2 linked regions of the Lytechinus pictus genome follow. The protein of the gene in region 1 interacts with the protein of each later gene in a pairwise test. Links are inferred from orthologs where the notes say so. Each region holds a gene or a part of one and is shown on either strand. Other genes may lie near its edges.

The links.
Region 2: the proteins of uncharacterized protein LOC129269308 (region 1) and polyribonucleotide 5'-hydroxyl-kinase Clp1-like interact in binary tests that used the Homo sapiens proteins (3 or more experiments, as listed by UniProt). The link is inferred for Lytechinus pictus from reciprocal best matches to the Homo sapiens genes TSEN54 and CLP1.

Annotation. Positions count from the first base shown.
Region 1 is NC_087254.1:22,850,317-22,860,162, forward strand, and holds the start of uncharacterized protein LOC129269308, read right to left. Parts: upstream 4,558-9,846; 5' UTR 4,276-4,557; intron 2,680-4,275; exon of another isoform or gene 1,515-2,679; intron 1-1,514. Other genes in the region: TNF receptor-associated factor 6-like, read right to left, coding at 9,367-9,846.
Region 2 is NC_087257.1:17,662,599-17,672,183, reverse strand, and holds the start of polyribonucleotide 5'-hydroxyl-kinase Clp1-like, read right to left. Parts: upstream 3,817-9,585; 5' UTR 3,557-3,816; coding exon 3,458-3,556; intron 1,384-3,457; exon of another isoform or gene 1,274-1,383; intron 48-1,273; coding exon 1-47. UniProt on the Homo sapiens protein: Polynucleotide kinase that can phosphorylate the 5'-hydroxyl groups of double-stranded RNA (dsRNA), single-stranded RNA (ssRNA), double-stranded DNA (dsDNA) and double-stranded DNA:RNA hybrids. dsRNA is phosphorylated more efficiently than dsDNA, and the RNA component of a DNA:RNA hybrid is phosphorylated more efficiently than the DNA component.

The sequences.
Region 1 (9,846 bases):
TATAAAAAGTGAGCTACGTCCGTTTTTTTTTTCTGTAATACATGTGCGCGCGTGCTTCCGGTAGCGGTTTTTCCATACTCCACCATGTGCAATTTCTAATGCACACATTTCCAGTTGGGATATCACAATTCTGCGATATAGTAATTCGAATTGCACAGGAGATAAATCCCTGTTCACAGCACATACGATGTGTGAGTCTTTTATCCTCTCAGTCGCCGACTTTGCTTGTCAAAACGGAGCCTTAATAATCCAAAATCACTTTGCTTTATATAGTTGTGAATTATAGCTTTTTAATTTCTTTCTTGGAGAGGGGTAAATATCAGACAATAAATCATCAAACAAGGCTCCAAAAAAAAAAACAGGAGGACGCCGTGCATTTGAGTGTGGTGTTAGCTAGCCAGTTTGAGCTCATGTTCTCTGTCAGAGCTCTGGGTGAGAATTCTATCAGTAATGGCCTATAAAGTGATGGTGATTTTCCGTTTCAGATAGAGTTTAGATTTCATGTTAATTTTTTAAAACTGTCAAAAACTTTATTTCTTCATTGTGATGAATATTTAAGTTATTAATGAATACATTTTCACCGAATTTAGACTCTCCCAGAATGAAAGGCATTTTCTGTGGAGATCTGCGTTTTCAAATAACTTGTGAAAAACTTAAGGTACATGAACCAACAATACATGTACATAGCCTGTGGCTATGTGCTGGAATTTGAATAGACTGAGTTAGATATTGATTTCATTTCTTTAACATAATTCATATGCAATCCAAATGTACCTCAAACACACTTAAACATTTAAATCTGATTTCTTAAATGTTTGAATACCGGTAAGCCTAATACTTAGCATGCTATTCATGTACTAATTAAAAAATTGCAGGAGCTGCGCTTACTATAAACAAATTTGCAGTGTGGTTCACCGTTATATATATATTTTTTTAATTGCCCCCGGTTCCTGTAAAAAGCCTGTAAGCCGGGGGCAATTTTTTTTGAAAAATTGCCCCTGGTCTGCAGCTGCTTATTTCAAGGCTTGCACTAGACAGCTGGCAGCCGTCTGTTTCGAGGAGTTAAAAAAATACATACACAGACGGCTCGCTATCGTGCAGCCACCATTAGGGGATTTACAATGCAAAATCCCCCCGTCAGGGCTCTTCAATTTTCGTCTTTAATGAATCAAACATTTGAAAATTAACGCAACCGAAATGCAAATTAATATTCCCTCTTGGCATTAATTGCCAAAAAACGGGGAAAATCAAGTTAAAAGGAACAAAAACAGTGACTTACCTCGGCTGTCGCGCAACTTCACTGCCCTGTTTTATCCGAACTTAATACACATAAACATATGGCCATTGAGTCCCCTGTACAGATCGCGCTAGAACTTCGGTCTCTGTTTTGGTGAGTGAAGGAGTTCAGCTGAACGGAGTTCAGCTGAACCACCAACATAACAGAGACCGAAGCTTTTGGTCTAGGCTTGCACTTCCTGCTATTCAAAATTGGAGATAGATATATTGGAGGGCACCTGGGATAATATGGCACCTAGACAAGACCACTTACAATTGAAAAGTTATGGAGATCTCACCAAAAATTTAATAGAGTATCATTTCTAACCCTCCCTGAAATGAGATTTAAAATGATGAACACCAGTTAGTGGTTGTTGTGTGCCTTTTGTTATTAGAATTGCGCAGCTACATTCAGCAAAGTGCAAAGTTGGGGAACCACATATTGTACATGATAATAATAATAATAATAGATGGGAATTGTAATGCGCCTAATCCACTCTGCAGAGTGCTTAAGGTGCAGTAAAAAAATGGAAAGAGAGAGAAAACTTATATACATTGATATAAATTAAGGAACTGACAATTTAGAGTAGGATACTAGTATATTAATTAGAAGTGCCTTAAAGTTTAAATGTGTCCATGGAAGTGCATCCACGGATAACCAGGGGAAGATCATTCCAATTCAATTTATTTACATTCTTAAATAAAAAACATGAAAAAAATCCAGAGGACAAGGCCAGTGTGAGCAAATGCCTGAAATTTCCTTTGAGTGAATGTGTTTAGGTAGGGAGTTCGGGTGAAATGCCGCTTTCAGAATATGTATCTGTCTGTGCACCCATGTATAAAACAAGTATAAAGCCATTAAAGGAGGAAAAACCCTATAGAAACCTATACCATGAGAAACTTTGAAGTTTTATGAATAAAATGATGTATAATTCAAGGGCATAAATTGCCCCACATAGCAGCGCATTGCACTTTAAAAAGAAGGATTACACAGTCCCAGTCATTGCATTTTGTGTAAGTTATGAAAATCAACTTTTGCTGTAAAAAAATCTGCACATTCTCCCATTTAAACAGAAATATCTCTGTCAATATTTGACATCATGAGTTGATTTTAAGCACCATTCTTTTTATACCACAAGCTTTCAAATAGTACCAAATTTGTTGGGATTCCTTCAAAAGGCTTCAAGATTTCAAAAAGCCACTGTCTCCCCACTCAAACAAGCTTTTATCATTTTTTTTGACAGAACAAAGTCTGCATATTTTTCCCTGTAAATTGGAATATCTCCGTCAATATATCAGACAATGAGTAGATTGAAGCACCATTATTTTTCTTATTTCACAATTTTTCCAACGATATCAAATTTGTTGGGATTCCTTCAAGATTTTAAAAAATCACCGTACTCCCTACTAGTTTAGGTGATAATAGAGGACTTGTCTTAGGCCTATATTTTACTTTTAATCATACCAGTCAAGATCAACAGATAACGAACGTAGACCTCACTCATGTCACTCCCAAGTCCCAGCTCACAACACAAGCCATCCATTTCAGGCATCACACTCAAACAGCTCAACCTAAGTCTAAAAATGAGGGCCAGCCATGTCTCCAAGTTCAAAATAGAAACACTGCTCAAATAAGGTGTGAACACGAAAGACTTCCTTATGTCCCCTCCACTAATTTTTAAAAATACTTCTCCAAAACCCTCTTCTCTCATTCTCTTTTTCTTCTTTTTTTTCTTCTTACTTCCGGTTGGAACTTGGATTCGAACCTCTCGTTGCAGAACGATGAATCTCCAGTCTCTCGCCTTACTCACTGAGCTAGCCACAGAAATTGTTGAAAGCAAACGGTTTCAACCGATATTACGACTAGTCTACTCTCCAAGAGTATTGGGCATTTATTTTTCTGACTAAATATACCAATGATATCGGGAATTACACACACTCGAATTTTTGACGGAATAAAGCCATATTTTGGTATGTATCCAACTTTTCCTTCTTAAAGGCCAAGTCCACCCCAGAAAATATTTGATTTGATTCGATAGAGAAAAATCAAACAAACATAACGCTGCAAGTTTCATCGAAATCGGATGTAAAATATGAAAATTATGACATTTTTAAGTTACGCTTATTTTTCACAAAACAGTTCAATGCACAACTCAGCGATATGCAAATGAGAAAGTCGATGATGTCCATCACTCACTATTTCTTTTGTTTTTTATTGTTTGAATAATACAATATTTCAATTTTTACAGATTTGCCAATAAGGACCAACTTAACTTAACCATAAACTGTTAAAATAATGGTAATTCCACATGTTCAGTGAGAAATAAAACTTTGTTTCACTTGACGAGAAGAAAATTAGAATATTTCATATTTCATATAATAAAATAGAAAAGAAATAGTGGGTGACGTCATTAGTCTGCCAATGTGCATACCGACCAGGATGTGCATATAACTGTTTTGTGAAATTAAGCGAAACTTAGAAATGTCATAACTTTCTTATTTTACATCCGATTTTGATGAAATTTTCAGTGTTTTGCTTGTTGGATTTTTCTCCTTTTTTTCAAATCAACTTTTTGTTGGGGTGGACTTGTCCTTTAAATCTCTTAGTCAGATATATGTTGTTAGATAATTCTTGATAAACCTTCTCCATATTTTTTTTTTCAATTTTAGTGGAGGGGACATATGGACATGATGGAAGTCTTGCCAATTACACAAGCTATCAAGTATAAATAATCAAGGAATCGTGATTTCCCCCATAATTTGTGTGCTTAAGAAATTCCACATGCTGACATGGTAATGGTCGTTTTTGTGTAGAGCCTGGGCGCTGGCATACACACGACACTCAGTCGATAGTGAGCTCCATTTGAGAATTCTCTAACTTTGTTACATATCTACGACTACGAGTACGACTACGCAATATAACGCACAAAAATCCTGCTTTTGGGATAGATCAAGAAAAGGGTATAATATACGCATTTTCGAAACATAAAGTAAACTTACCATAAATCATGTGAATTGTGGACTTTTTAAATAATTTTTTTGGCCAGGCGTACCGTACCGGTCCTCCGTATTGTTTTGAAGTTGAATCATTCACGATACGCGGCCGTACCGTACCCTCGCGCTCTCTTGATTTAAGGCCCGGGCGCCGGCTGCACTCGCCTAGCTTCGGCCGGCGGGAGCGCCGCTCACATCGCCTTTTACTCGGCAGATAATGCAGATATATGCAGATCGGCGTCACTGGTCGTCGTCACACGGCAGTACACGTGCATTTGGACCTTGTATAGTATACAACAACGAACGTAGAGGGCAGCAACACACATGCGTGTTGCTCTAAGGAAGGTCAACTCCGCTCGAATTTTGTGACCACTTTAAAAAATAAGGTGGGGTTTTGGGAAATTTGTCGAGTTGATTTTTTTTCATTTGTTAATTTCAAATATTTTTTAATGAACAATTATTAGATCGGTCATTCTGGGTATAAATATTAAAAATATTACTTTTATTTTTAAAGAAAATATCTAGCTTAAATAATCATGATTTTGACATTTTTCCTCATTTTGGAATATTAAGCCTGTGACGAGGATACCTCATATCTCTTATTTTCTTCTGCTGAATTTCGCTGCACCACTAATAAATGCTTAGACAACCACCGTAATAATCGAGGTCATTTTTCTGGCCTGGGTGCGCCGAGTCTGGCCCGGTCGCGCAGCTAGCTAGTGACGTTGATGATGCGCTGGGGCTTCAGGCGACTCGTCATAGATCTAGCAACTTAGACAATGACGTCTAATTTGCCTGGCCTGATTTGAAGTGTAATGGCTTCAGGGCTGATGTTTATCAACGATGATTGTTCAAGGTTAGATTTCAAATTTTAAATGTCATTTGACTTTTAAGTCTATAAATCTGAAATAAAGGCGCTGTATCCCCGAAATCCGGGTCTAAATTTCAACTCTGAGTCCGAGACCATGGCATGGACGGCGAAAAAACAACCCATGCATCGGATGCATTGCATTGGCTGCGCGCTGCGCTGCAGCTGCACTGTGATGATGGGTTCAGCGAAGAGCTCAGAGAAAATAAGGTGGTTATATTCAATCCCGAAATGCTTTGCGAGTGGTCACAAAATCGTCTCGACGCAAATCACCTAATACAGCCGTCTGGTGAAATCGCTGATAACAACAATCACCGATTTGGTAATGATTTTAGTTTCCTGAAACTTATATTTGTAAAGTTTTAAATATCAAAGTATGTTTTTATATGTATGTATATTCCTCAACATATTTTTAAAGTTATCTTTGATATTGTTGTAGTCATATTCTTTCATATTCGTTTTTTTATCGCTACTAATTTGTTGTTGTATTGGATCGGCATTTGATTTCGTTGGCATGAACAATAAAATACGCGCGCAGCTCAGCTGCATGCGCGTATCGAGTTGACCTTCCTTATAGCAACACGCTTGTGTGTTGCTGCCCTCTACGTTCGTTGGTATACAAGTACATAAACACGAACAAAGGAAGCTACCAATGTCTCTCTATTCTATTACGCAATAATTGGGGCGGTTGGGGGAGGGGCATTATGCTAGGAAACCGATATGTTCAAATGCTAACTTTTCATAGATATCGTTTATAGGGTCGGTATTCATGATGCAAGAGAATGTCGCTAAATTAGAGAAAAAGGTTGTTAGAAAAGAAAAGAGGTCAAGAGACTGGCCGGTCACTTTGTAAAAAGATGTAGGCCTACTGGGTCTATTTGACAAAAACGGTCATCCTAGTTTTAGAGAATTTTTTTTTCCTCCCAATACTAGAAAAAATATATACATATATTTTTTATATAAACAAGAAGGCACAATGATCTATAGATTTATAAAGATGAAATACATGTAACTGGTTGTTTCTATGTCAGGGGGGTATTTTCCAGAACCTCGACAGCATTGATAAGGGTCTCAGTTTATATGAAATGTTATAAGGGTCATTCTACTCATAATGATATGAAAGGGTGATTTTTCATTATGTATAAAATGGTGGTTCCTAAAACGAAAGAGTGCCGCTTATAATGGAAGGTCGCTTTTCACTCACTAGCAACCCCTTAGCTTGTTACAGAGCTCAAAAGTTGAATTCACCCCCCCCCCCAAAAAAAAAAAAAAAAAAAAATCGTTATTTTGTTATCAGATTTTAATGAAGTTCAGTTCGGTGAATTTTACCTGTATGAAATTATATAGTTAGAAAGAATACGTTCCAAGTTGGAGCAGTGGCTATAGGTATTCAAGAAAAAGTCTTACATCTCAAAGTTTCCTTGTGCGCCCGCTTAATTGGTCTTTTAATATGTTCTTCATTCGCAAATATAACTACAGTAACCTCCGCTCTATATTTATGCAATTTTAAGCCCTTTTGAGAATATGCGCTATACGTAGTTATCAATTTATTTATTTTGTGATGAAAGAGGTGCGATTCAACATAGAACTCAAATGTACAAAACATAAAAAAATAAAAGAGAAAGTCAAAGCTAGGACGCCACATTTCTGACTTTCCCATCCAATATGTTTTAGACACGTAAAGGTGGACATCATTCCACAACCCTCATCATCCCTTGACGCGAGACCCCCCCCCCCTCAAAAGTGCACAATGTTATATTGTCTTTAAAAAAAAATCCCATTTACAGATATGGATGGGGCTCGGTAGACCCCCTTCTGAATCTGCCACGGGTGACGAGGCGAGGAGGGGGGCCTGCCCTCTCTTCCTCAAACAATTTCAATATTTTGTGAAATGATTTGCGACAACACGAATCATGCGCTGGGTCAAGTGAATAGAGATGGATTTATTTTTGTCAGTGTCGTATTTTACATAACTTAAGTGAGAATGTTTTCTCCACTCCCCCATAAACATAAACACACCGCGTTCTAAATTTGTCAGAAATGAAATTGACAATTTCTGGAGTGATTTTTATTTTGTTGCTTGTAATCTCACCTGGAGATAGTTTTTATTATTATCGTGCTTTTTTTTTGGGGGGGGGGGTTGTCAGCAATTTTATTACAATCCCCCTTACCCAGCCTCTGGAATTTGGGCCTATAGCTTGCTTCACATTTGATGAAAGAAAATGATCGATAATGCACCGAGGTTAACAGAATGCAAGTTTTTAGTCCTCTTGAAATTATTTGGTAATTAATAGTTGGCGTTCCTCCTCTTTTGGAATTGAAAAAAGAAATAAGCCCCCTTTTTTGGGGGGGGGGGGGTGAAACCCTTTTTTCTTGACAGATTGTGAGAGAAATTGTGACGGTGAGATAATCTTTCGCTATTTTTCTAGTGACAAATAATAACGAAATTATTAATTTCATGTGCCCATGTAATACACCTTACTATAGTTGTGAATTGCTTCCCTTCCCCCCCCCCCCCTTTTTTTGTCCAAAATTACCGGGGGAAGTCTTGTCTGTTCTCTTTAATATTAGTAATGTCGTATGATTCAGATGCCCTGTGTATACTGTTTATAATAATAATATGTAGACACCATGTAAAAAAGACTAGTCATCATATTTTATCTTTTTTTAACATCTATATATCCTTTTAATATCATAACATGAAAATGGCTAAAATACAATTGAATACATAAAATAATATCAGTCCAAAGACAGGAAAGAAAGTAACTGATAAAAATATTCACATGTCTTGATAAGATTTATCCTAATGAAAGTAAAATTTTCACCATAAACTAGCTATGAATTTGTAGGCATGCTATGATATCATGATAGTTGTTATGCCGAATGAAAAAGCCGGGTGAAAGCCTTCTGACATTCATAAATATTGTCTCGCATTTCGTATTAAAAAAGAAATAATTTTGCAACACAGCTGAAATTGTTATCAGTTGTATATCACTCTACATGACGAGTTTTTAGAGATCTAATATAAGTAAAGCTGTGAAAAAGAAAACATTTTGGATCATGAAGGTATACTCCCTAAGGAATGCACCGGAACCACTGAATATCTGAAATACTAGTAGAATGACAGATACCAAACAATAGATGGCGCACTGACTTGCAGCTCTGGTGCTTTCAATCAGCTGGGATGTTTCACAGGGAATTATTCTTGTACCCCGTCTTAAATGGTTGCATGGAGAAAGCGTCACATACATGATATGGGCAAAGTAATTACGAGCAAAAAATAATTACATTAATCTACGAGTTAATCTACGAGTATTTTCAAGAATTCCGTAATTCAGCTGGATGAATACAAAAATGTAATTTCTTCGAATTCTAAAATTACTGGCAAGTTATTCTTGAAGATATCGTGATTATCGGACGCAGTGTGCGAGTGATTGAGCTAATAAAATGAATATTGCACTTGACTTTGGAGCATCTAAATTTGAATTGTACGATGCTTCCGATGGTTGATGCCAAATAGTGGCGAGTAAAACGTACCGTATTTAATAGTTTATATGGAAATTGAGTTATACTCAGCAATATATGTTTATGGCACATAAAGACAATTCGGGGCAATGTGGTTTCAGAAACTATACATATTGGTCGTTGAACACATGACAAGTCCTCTTACTGACTTTTATTCATTTGTATTTGTATATAAAAATCTCAACAATATCAACAACTTTGTACAGTAAGATAGATAACACAAATTAACACAAGCATTACGAAGGAATAAAACCACACGCCCTAACACAGTTATAAATACAAAATGTAGAACTTACAGGATATAGGAAACTACATAGAAAACATCTAAGGCACATTATAAGAATAAATATTTGTAATTTTATTGCGACGGTAAAAATCAATAAACATATACAATTAATTAAAGAAGGCGTTGGAATATACAAAAAATAGCATCTATAACCACACCTATGTCCTCCATCAAATAGATAAATAAGTGACCATGAGATATGTCACGTAGGCCCTAGAAGCTCTGGTGTGATCCTCTACTTTCCTATGTGGTGTGGGATGTACTGATGGAAGGACGCTCACAGAAGCCCAGATGAACAACATCTCTGTCTTGCAGAATCAAGTGGTAAGAGCATGGAGCTACTTAGTAGCTCCATGGTAAGAGCGTTTGTCTTCATGAACTGCAGTCTAGATCTGCAAGGTGTTCTAGGAGTGCTCTGCTATGTGGTGTGGGATGGAGGTAGGGTAGTCACACGAGCCCGGATGAACAACGTCCCTGCATTGCAGAATCGACCATTGATAAGAGTGTCCGTCTTCATGAACTGCAGCCTACCACGACGTTGCATGGTGCTCTGGACCTCATGAGGGCGTGGCATCTTATGGCAAGTGATGTTGGTGTTGAGGTGATTCTCACAGTCCACCTGGTCAAAGAGCATCAGGGTACAAACGGCACTGAACGGGAAGTACAGGTTCATGTCGTTCTCTCCTTTGCATAACATGATAAAGATGGACGTGTAGGAATCTGAGCGTGTCACATGACCCCTCAATTCAAGGCAGAGGCGGAGCTTGTATCCAGCGGGGGAAGTGTAGAAAGGTGGACTCAGAAGTGGTGCACTAAAGTCACGTGAGCATATTTGGATTTTCCAGTTGAGTTGGCCCGTGTAATTGGTATTCTTCATAATTGACAGGTCGCCCTTTAA
Region 2 (9,585 bases), on another chromosome or scaffold:
TCAAATCGCAGTTCGTTGTCTTGAGAAAGTATGTACTCCTTGCCACCCTGTACACGGGAGAAATATACAAAGAGAATAGAATTAAACAAGTTTTACAAATATGCATATCATATTACATGCCATACAGATGTACATTACAGGATATCTCTAAAAAATGAACATAAATGGGTACCCCCCCTGCCGGCCCATTCTGTATTATAAAAAAAAATAATATAATAAAAGTTATTTCTAAACCAGACAGGGATAAGTGATAGATGTTTGGAAAATACATGAAGTGAGACCACATCTCCATAAAAAATTGTTTGTGCTTGATATGCATGAACATCTAGGCCCGTATTCTGACGTTGGGTTTAACTTAAACTCAGGTTTAAAGTTGTGGTTTAAGTATGGAGAGCCAATTGTTACATAAATCACTAACAGTACAGATATCATAATTCAGCTTTATTAGTTGGCTCTAAAATCATTCATAATTGTCTAGGAAGTATAAAAAGATTATTGTATTCACCATCAATGAATCAGGAAAGAGCACAGTAAACATAAGAAACATAAAACTTAATTTAAAAAATTGATACTTTTGGCTTCCCATACTAAAACCACAACTTTAAACCTGAGTTTAAGTTAAACCAGACTTCAGAATACGGGCCGTAGGGTTTCATATAAGATGATCTATTCCAGCCTTTAATATCCTATCTCATTACTTATGATATCAATGCTAAATTAATAGTCATTAGGCTTTACTATGTACCGGTATAGAGATTTTCTTTTTTTAAACACAATCGAAGTGCAACAGCATTTTCTCAGCTACAGCGTGAGAAACGACAGAGGGTTTCACAAAATTTACCTTAACCATGCATAGATATCATTCTCCATCTCAACACTTGGAGACAAATATGCATGACCTACAAAAAGTATTCATCAGTTATATATGCCATCGCTGACAAGAGTTGATTTTACCAAATATATCCAATTGAAGACTATAAAAAACATGGACACGAATATGACATAATATTTTCACTTGCATGATGTAAGAAGAGGGGTTCACAAAATTGAACTCTTATCAGTAATCCAGCATTATCTAATCTCACTATTTTGAGCCCAAACAGATTGTATCATGTACGCTTCAGAAAAATAATTTCAAGGTTTTCTTAATCATGTCATTGTTGGCATGATTATAAAAACATAAGCACTATGCGACTTGCAAACATAAGATATGACATAACATTTTCCCCATCATGATGTAAAAAGAGAAATTATTCACAAATTGAACTTTTACCAGTAATCCAGCCTTATCCCCAGCAATTAGGCGTTACGGCATCATCGTCAAGATTCATGCGGAGAGCAATGTGACTCGGAGCATTTTGTGAGTCTGTATGATGACTTGCTATTAAGGAAAATAAATGACAGCAAGGCATGTTGCTAATCACCTCTCTGCATGCTTACCTGATCTTAATGTGATTGAAATAATAAGAATTATTTACTCTTACTAATTCCGTCATCAGTGGGAACCTAGCTTTTACAAGCTTTGTTTTTTAAAGGTCAAGTCCACCCCAGAAAAATGTTGATTTGAATAAATAGAGAAAAATCAAACTAGCACAACATTGAAAATTTCATCAAAATCGGATGTAAAATAAGAAAGTTATGACATTTTAAAGTTCCAAATATTTTTCACAAAACAGTGATATACACAACTGAGTGACATGCAGATGAGATAGTCGATGATGTCCCTCACTCACTATTTCTTTTTTTTTAATTGTTTTAATTATACAATATTTCATTTTTTACAAATTTGACAATAAGGATCAACTTGACTGAACCATATATTATCAAACAATGTTAATTCCACATGTTCAGGGAGGAATTAATCGTTGTTTCACTTGGCAATGAGGAAAAAATTAGAATATTTCATATAATAAAATACAGGAGAAATAGTGAGTGGATGACGTCATCAGTCTCCTCATTTGCATACAGACCAGGATGTGCATATAACTGTTTTGTGAAATTAGGCGAAACTTTAAAATGTCATAACTTTCTTATTTTACACCCGATTTTGATGAAATTTTCAGTGTTGTTTGTTGGATTTTTCTCTTTTTATTCAAATCAACTTTTTGTTGGAGTGGACTTGTCCTTTAAAGAGGATCCTCATTCATGTACATGTACATTGTTTATTTGCACATTTTTTTTGTGAAAGAGCAAAAGGAATTTTCAATTTTTTTTCATTATATTGAAATGATCAAGATGGACATGAACAACTTTGTGGAATTCACGCAAAACATTACAATAAAAAAGTAGAAATCAAATTCCATAGATGAAGAAATTAATTTTAAGGATGAATCCAATATTTAAATTTTAGCTTTTTTTTCAGCTCTTAAATAGAGAAAAACATATGAGAAAAGAGAGTCCAATATGAATTTTTATTCTCAAAAGAAAATGTAAATGAAAAAGGAAATACTCACAAAGAAGAATTCAGTTAGCTTAACTTTTAAAAGCAAAGAAAAGAAATATAGAAATGTGTGTGTGTGTCTTTGTTCAGGGGCAATTTATTTAAAGCCAAAAGCTTCAGGTTGACCAGTCTCTATATTTTTCGATTGTTCCACTGTACTTGTAAAAAAAAAAAGAAATAAGTGAAAAAAAGTTCATCTAAACAGATAGATTTTTGAGTATGCAAGCCCTTGTGGTGTGCAATCGGGGAGGGGGGGGGGAGACTGCATTGCCATGCACAAGTGCACCAGAGGGGGGGGGGAGGGGGTACATGTACTGGAATTATAACATGATACCTAGATGTAACAAAGTCGAAAATAGGGGGCTCTGGAACTAAACCTTGGTCTTAAATTAAAATGGGGGTCTCCAGAACGGCTCAACTACATACATACAGTACAAGTTTTACAAAGTACAAACCCACAAGTTTTATCCGTGGTCAAATTCATACCCTATTCAAGTATTTTTGTGTGCTTCTTCGACAATTTTGCCCCCACCCCCCGAACAAGTATAACCCCCAAAACATTTATTTTTACTTGACAAAAATTCATTTTCTGACATCCTTACATGTACTATGTAGATCCTCAAAGTGTCACACAAGAATTAAGCGTAATGATCGAAAAAAAGAACATGGTTGAGCGTGTTTACAGCAACATAGTTGAGTGCACCCCTTCTCCCCCCCCCCCCCATCAGGTGCACAATTGACAGGAAAGATATAAAATTATATTTCCATATTCATAATTCTAATCTAAGAAAATAAAAAATAACTTAAAATATATACCTGACGATGTTGAAGTCATGATGTACCGTATATGTATACTGTACAACTGCAACAAACAGATTAAGAAATACACTGTACATACATTTATACCAAAAAAATATGATATCAAATCATAACTACACTGTAATTAATTGTAAAAACATGTAGGCCTATATTTTATCACAAATTTGTAAAATTTTAATTTGACAATTAAATTCTTACCTCTTCTCCTAGACTGGCCTGAGCTTTTAACTCTTCCCAATTTGAGCAATCTTTCGCATTAACATTAATTTCAACGGGTATTTCTTCAGGGGGTTCCATATGGAATTATAACAGAGTATTACACCCAATGACAAGCAATCATGCAGCTACTACATTCAGGAAAATGAATTGAGCTGAATGCAGTATAGTATGCAATATATTTTGTACAGCTGATCATGGACCTACTGGCTCATGGTTCGTAGTAAATTTATGCAGGGTACCCCTGCAGCTGTTCACTAGAATACACACATTACAGCTACATGTAAATTGCACAGGGAACACACACTATACACAAACACATGCTCTGTGCATAGAGCTATAGCTCCATGCTATGTGCATTGTATTGTTATGTGCAGGGGGCAGCATGCGATATGCAATGTACATTGTACACACAAAAAGCACATGTCAATCCACAAGGCAAAGAATAGTCTCCCCATGCACACTTTTTAAATAACAACCTTGGCTGACAGAATTTGTCATGTGTATGCTTGCGGGGATTAACTCATTAATTAATACTTGTACAAATGTGAATGCAAATAAATATACATGTAAGAGTGGACTTCATGACATAAAGCAGATTATTAAATTTAACTGAAAGAACTAGGAACATAACTTATTGACAAATTGACTGAAATCAAAGTCTACAATAAAAACTCATGCATATTCAATTTGCTGGAATGAATATTCATCAGGGCATGAAGGGGTATGGACAAACTTACAAATTTTACCTGTTTTTCAAAAAAAAATACACCCCGAATCAATATATAGTCAAATCATTCACAGATTACTTGAAGTAAACTACATTCTTTTCAATCAAGCTCCTAAAAGTAAAAAATAATCATGAAGGCAGACAAATATTTGACTGGATAAATAATTACTAACTGTACCAGGAAGGTACTCATGAATTGTACATACCAGAATCCAACTTTAAATACAGTATCATCAGTTAGGATTAATCCTTTCCTGTTACCTCTAAGGAGGTAGCAAGATGAATATGATGAGCTGGTTTGGATGATCTACATGATTACTCCATGGGAGTGGGGAACATGACAACCCCCCATAACCCCATCTCTGATTCAACTGATGAATCACCTTCAATATCTTTAAAATAATCAAAAGTAGAAACATTTGAGACAATCAAATGTAAGGATACACAACCTAATAATCACACATTAGTCAGTATAACATTTGGCTCATCACAATTATTTCCCAATTGCTTTTTTCCCCCATAATTATTTTCTTCAGATTCAGTTTTTATTAGTGGGTATGCATTCCTATTTTTTTTTTTTTTGGGGGGGGGAGGGCATATCAATATTACATGATAAAATGTTTCCAAAATAAACCGTTATCATGGAATTAAAAAAAAAATACTTAAAATGGAAGTTCACCTAACAAAAACTTGTTATAATAGTATACTACTAGCAGAAGAAAATATAAAAAAATATTGGCAAAGGTTTGAGGAAAAGCCATCAAAGATTAAGAATGTTTTTACATGTACATGTACATGTATTAATCTATCAAGACCTATCTATAGTATTCTCACTGTTGTATTTGATATAGTTTAATAATGTAGTCAATAGTATTATACCTTGTACTGATGTCATGTAATGTATATTCAATGTTAACATAATAATGTAGAATGTGAAAATAATTGTATATCTATATAAATTCTTCTAAATAATGTAAAGCGCATGGAGATCTTGATATTAAGCGATCTATAAATGCAATATTATTATCAAAATTATTATTATTAGAATTTCAAGTTTTTATTTTTTTTATTAAACTATGTCTGCATCATACATTGAACATAAAATAACATAAGAAACTTCTTACAACAAACTTCAATTAAATGTGAATTACCAAAAAAAAATCAATCTGTCCATGTTGGGAGCTTAAAGAAAAATGTTTGGCGGATGTGAGTTCCACAGCTGAGTGATGCTTCCAAAAAGTTCCATTATTAAAGGAAAACTTCACCATTTTATAAATTTTCATGATTTGGGGGTAATTTTTCTGCTCTGAATAATTACCTTCATTAATTTACAATTTATTTTGCATTGTATATAATATAGCCCGATTTCTGATTTGTTTAAAGCTGATGTGACCTTAGTAAATCCTCCACTTTAGATACATTGTTCTCGTCTATCTCTCATGCAGCTTTTGTACAAATGTTGATAACATCTATTTGGATGTGGAATATTATGATATAGCAAATTAAAAAAAATATTTAAATTTTCAATGAATTCAAACTGTATATTAAACTTCAATTGTATTAATCATTACATGTGTTATGATACTGCAACAAATAACAATAAAAATTTAGTTTTAAATTTGATTCCCTTTTTTTATTTTTAATACAGGAAATATAACAATCATAAACTAACAAAACATAAATAAATATTGATCTTACGTCTATTGAAGTGTCACATGTGCAATCCAAGGTTATAATAATAATAATAATAAAGGTATATTTACCCAGGGTAGCCACTTCAGTTCCGAAAACTGTTCTCCCAGCGGGCCCTGCTATTATTACCCGGCTAAGCTAGGCTACCTATTCGGTGCACACAGCTTTTTGAGGAATTACTTCCTGCCGGTACCCATTTACCTCACCTGGGTCGAGTGCAGCACACTGTGGAAGAATTCCTTGCTGAAGGTTATGATAGTATATCCAAATAAATCCAAGTTGGCTGGCGAAGATTCCTTAAATTAAAGTTCACAATGATGGCGATGATGAAATTTATGTTAAGCACGATGAATAACAAGAGTCACTGAACGAGTTGAAATGTCTGTGAAGACGATGTTGATGATGATTAAATTTCAGCAATCCATGGGTTGAAAAGCGTTCATTAAAACAGGTTGATGATCTCGATGAGAACTGAGAATTCCTCTCTCAAAGTAACTGCAAACAGTTCATTGATGGCGTGGAAAATTCCACAGAAGATAAATATTCCAGGTGGAAATAAACTCTGCTCTGACATAAAGTCTGGTGTGAAACTCTGAGTTCTGATGTGATGTGATGTCCTTGACGAAACTGCCAGCTTATATTATAAATTATTTCCTGTTCTGGAAGCTTCTAGTATTGTCTACAAAAAGAACATTCTGCCAATTTCTAGAGCAGTCTAATTTTAGAAGCCTCTTGAATGACCTCAGTGAAATTAACAAGATGTAAACAGCATTGTTCTTTTCACTACCACCAATCCTATTGTGTTGCAGTCTCTATTCAGAAATAACAAAATTCCTCACGTGTAACAAAGCTTTACTGAGACATTCTGGAATGTTCTTAATCATTCTATGCTATGAATATCCATAAAGAAAAAATAACTAAATAAATGAATGTAATTGCTCTTACAATTCTACTTATATATAACACATGTAGATTTATCAAAAGTAAATGAGACACAGGTATTTTATCAACATGTACCACATAGATACTCTACAAGCACAAACGATGATCAAATTACAAGGATTTAATACAAAAAAAGAGAGAAAAGAAAAGAAGCCAAATCTTAACCCTTTGCGCGCAGATGTTGCAATCTTGCACGTTCATTCAATTGAATTCAACAATCGTATTAATTAATTTTCTCCTTTACCTAAAAATTAGAGAAGCTAGTATTAAGGCAATAGTTTTTGGACATCTTGGTCATGTGACCTGAAACTTGGGATGTTCAAAGATACTTGATTACTCTTATGTGATGTCCAAGTTTCATGAATCAGATCAATAAACTTTCAAAGTTATGATGGTAATTCAACAGATACTCCCATTATGGCAAAAATTCATTGACCTTTGACCTTGGTCATGTGACCTGAAATGCGCACAGGATGTTCAGTGATACTTGATTAACCTTATGGCCAAGTTTCATGAACTAGGTACATATACTTTCTATTAGAGAGAAGTGCTGCGTGTGAAAAAACTGAATTGTGATTTATTTACAGACCAGGGGCCAGCTTCATTATGCATTCATAATCTTGAGTAAAATCATAGTAAAATTTGTCATTATGGCATCTATCGTGTCTACAAAGGATCTGCAGCCAATCATAATAAAGGTTCCAATGTAGTAATTCTTTGAAGTGCCCATTTTCATTAGGACTTGTTATTTCTCAAATAGGTTTACTTTAAAGCCAATCAGATTGGATGATTTCAGGAGCTTTTTAGTTTTAATCGTTATTGCAAATCTGTATATTATTTAACTGAAAGTAAATCAATTAGAGAAATTGTGCATTTGCTATTATAACAAGTCTAGTACGAAACAAGACCCTGTACTATCAGATCTGATTATCTACATGTAGCCTGGAACTGAGGCTTTTCTGTCACTAATCGATAGACATCTATAGGCCCAAACCGAGGCTGAGCCCTCCTGTAGACCAAGCAGTGGTGAATTGTAAATTAGTTGTTTTGAAAATAAAGTGTGGATGCAATGATGCTCATGATTCAGTCATTGGCATTTAGCAATTCATTGCAAACTGTTATTCAGCGCAATGCCCTGCCCTTTATGAACTAAAGGAAACCAAAATACAAGGAGAATCCATCTTGTCAGAAAGAATGATATGAGAGGACTTAGCAAACTAAAACTTGTTTCTTCAAAATCGGTTATAAAATAAGCGAGTTATGGAAGTTTGAAAAGTCTTGTTGTACTTTCTATGGGGAACTTCAAATTGGCAAACAGGCTTCATAATGTCTGATTTTGTGGACAACTCTCCATCAGTTTTGTACACAAATTTTGAGATTTTCCTCGTTATTTGACATATTTCACATAGTCTCCTCCTGACCTTGACATACGTGGTGTTAATTATATTTGCTCATGACATATGTTATGCTCATCACATCAGGAGGTAAGAGGCAATTTGAAAGATAATGGGGAAAATCTGAAAATTTGTGTACAAAACAAATGGAGAGTTGTCCATTATAATAATAATTATTTATAATCAAGTTTCAAATGTTATTATTTGTTAAATAATAATTTTTATCTACAAATTGTTCTTCAAAACAGCATTTTGTAACATCGCTTATCGACGCTACGTCATAACCAAGCGGTTCAAGGGTCAAGCCTATTGTATTTCTGGTGTTTACGAATGGATCGAGGGATCTACACGAGATCGGTCTGGTAAGAAACCTCTCATTTTTCATATAAATACTAACAGTTTTTTTGTACAGGTCTTCATACACATTAAGCATATGAAGTTGTATAGAAAAATAAAATCCAACAAATTTATGTGATTTCTAAAATTTAATTATGGATTTCCTAGGGAAATCCATCCGTGTTTACATGTCCTGCTTCTAATGGGGAGGGCTTCAAGGCTTCATGGTGTAAAAGTATGTATGTAAAAATATTTTAAAATATCATTAAGGGGTCCTCAAAGCTAATATCGATGTAGATCTACTGATGCGGTAACTGATACATGTATGTTAATTAAAACTGTTATTTTGACGGAAAGGCCATCTAAGTCATCAATATAATATAAAAAATGAATAAAAAGTCACCGATTTCTCTACGTGAACCTCGTCCAGCTGCCTCCATTACGTCTATGGTGTTTGACAGTGACAAATCGAAAAAGAAAAAAGATCTCACGAAACCAGAGGCTTATCAACCCGTTTGGACCACTGACCTCAGGTTTCGACGAAACATTGCTCGTAATGCATTCTGGTAAGGAAGTCATGATAGCTTCAATCAAGACAAATTCGCAATTTTGTTTCGTATCGATAAAAACTCAAAATTATTTTTCCCCAGAAAAGGGAAAAAAAATAATGGGGTATCAACGGTGAACATAACTCCTGAACATTTATTATATGTAGTATTTGAACAAAAATGCTTAAGAAGAAAGACAGAAATTCGGAATAACGAAATTTACTGTGGGTCTAATCAGGGGAAAATCCAGGATTTTCCAAGGGGGGTTTTCTTTTACAGAAAAAATAACACGCCCCTGACCGCGCCCCCCCCCCCCCCCCCCCCGTTAAGGAGATTTATGTCACGAATAATCTGGCAATAAGAATAAAAGATCCTCGCTTTACAGTTGTTTTCATTGATTTAAAATCCAAACCTAACTAAAAGATTTTCAGTAAAAAATAAATGAAATTTAAAAAATCTCTTACCACA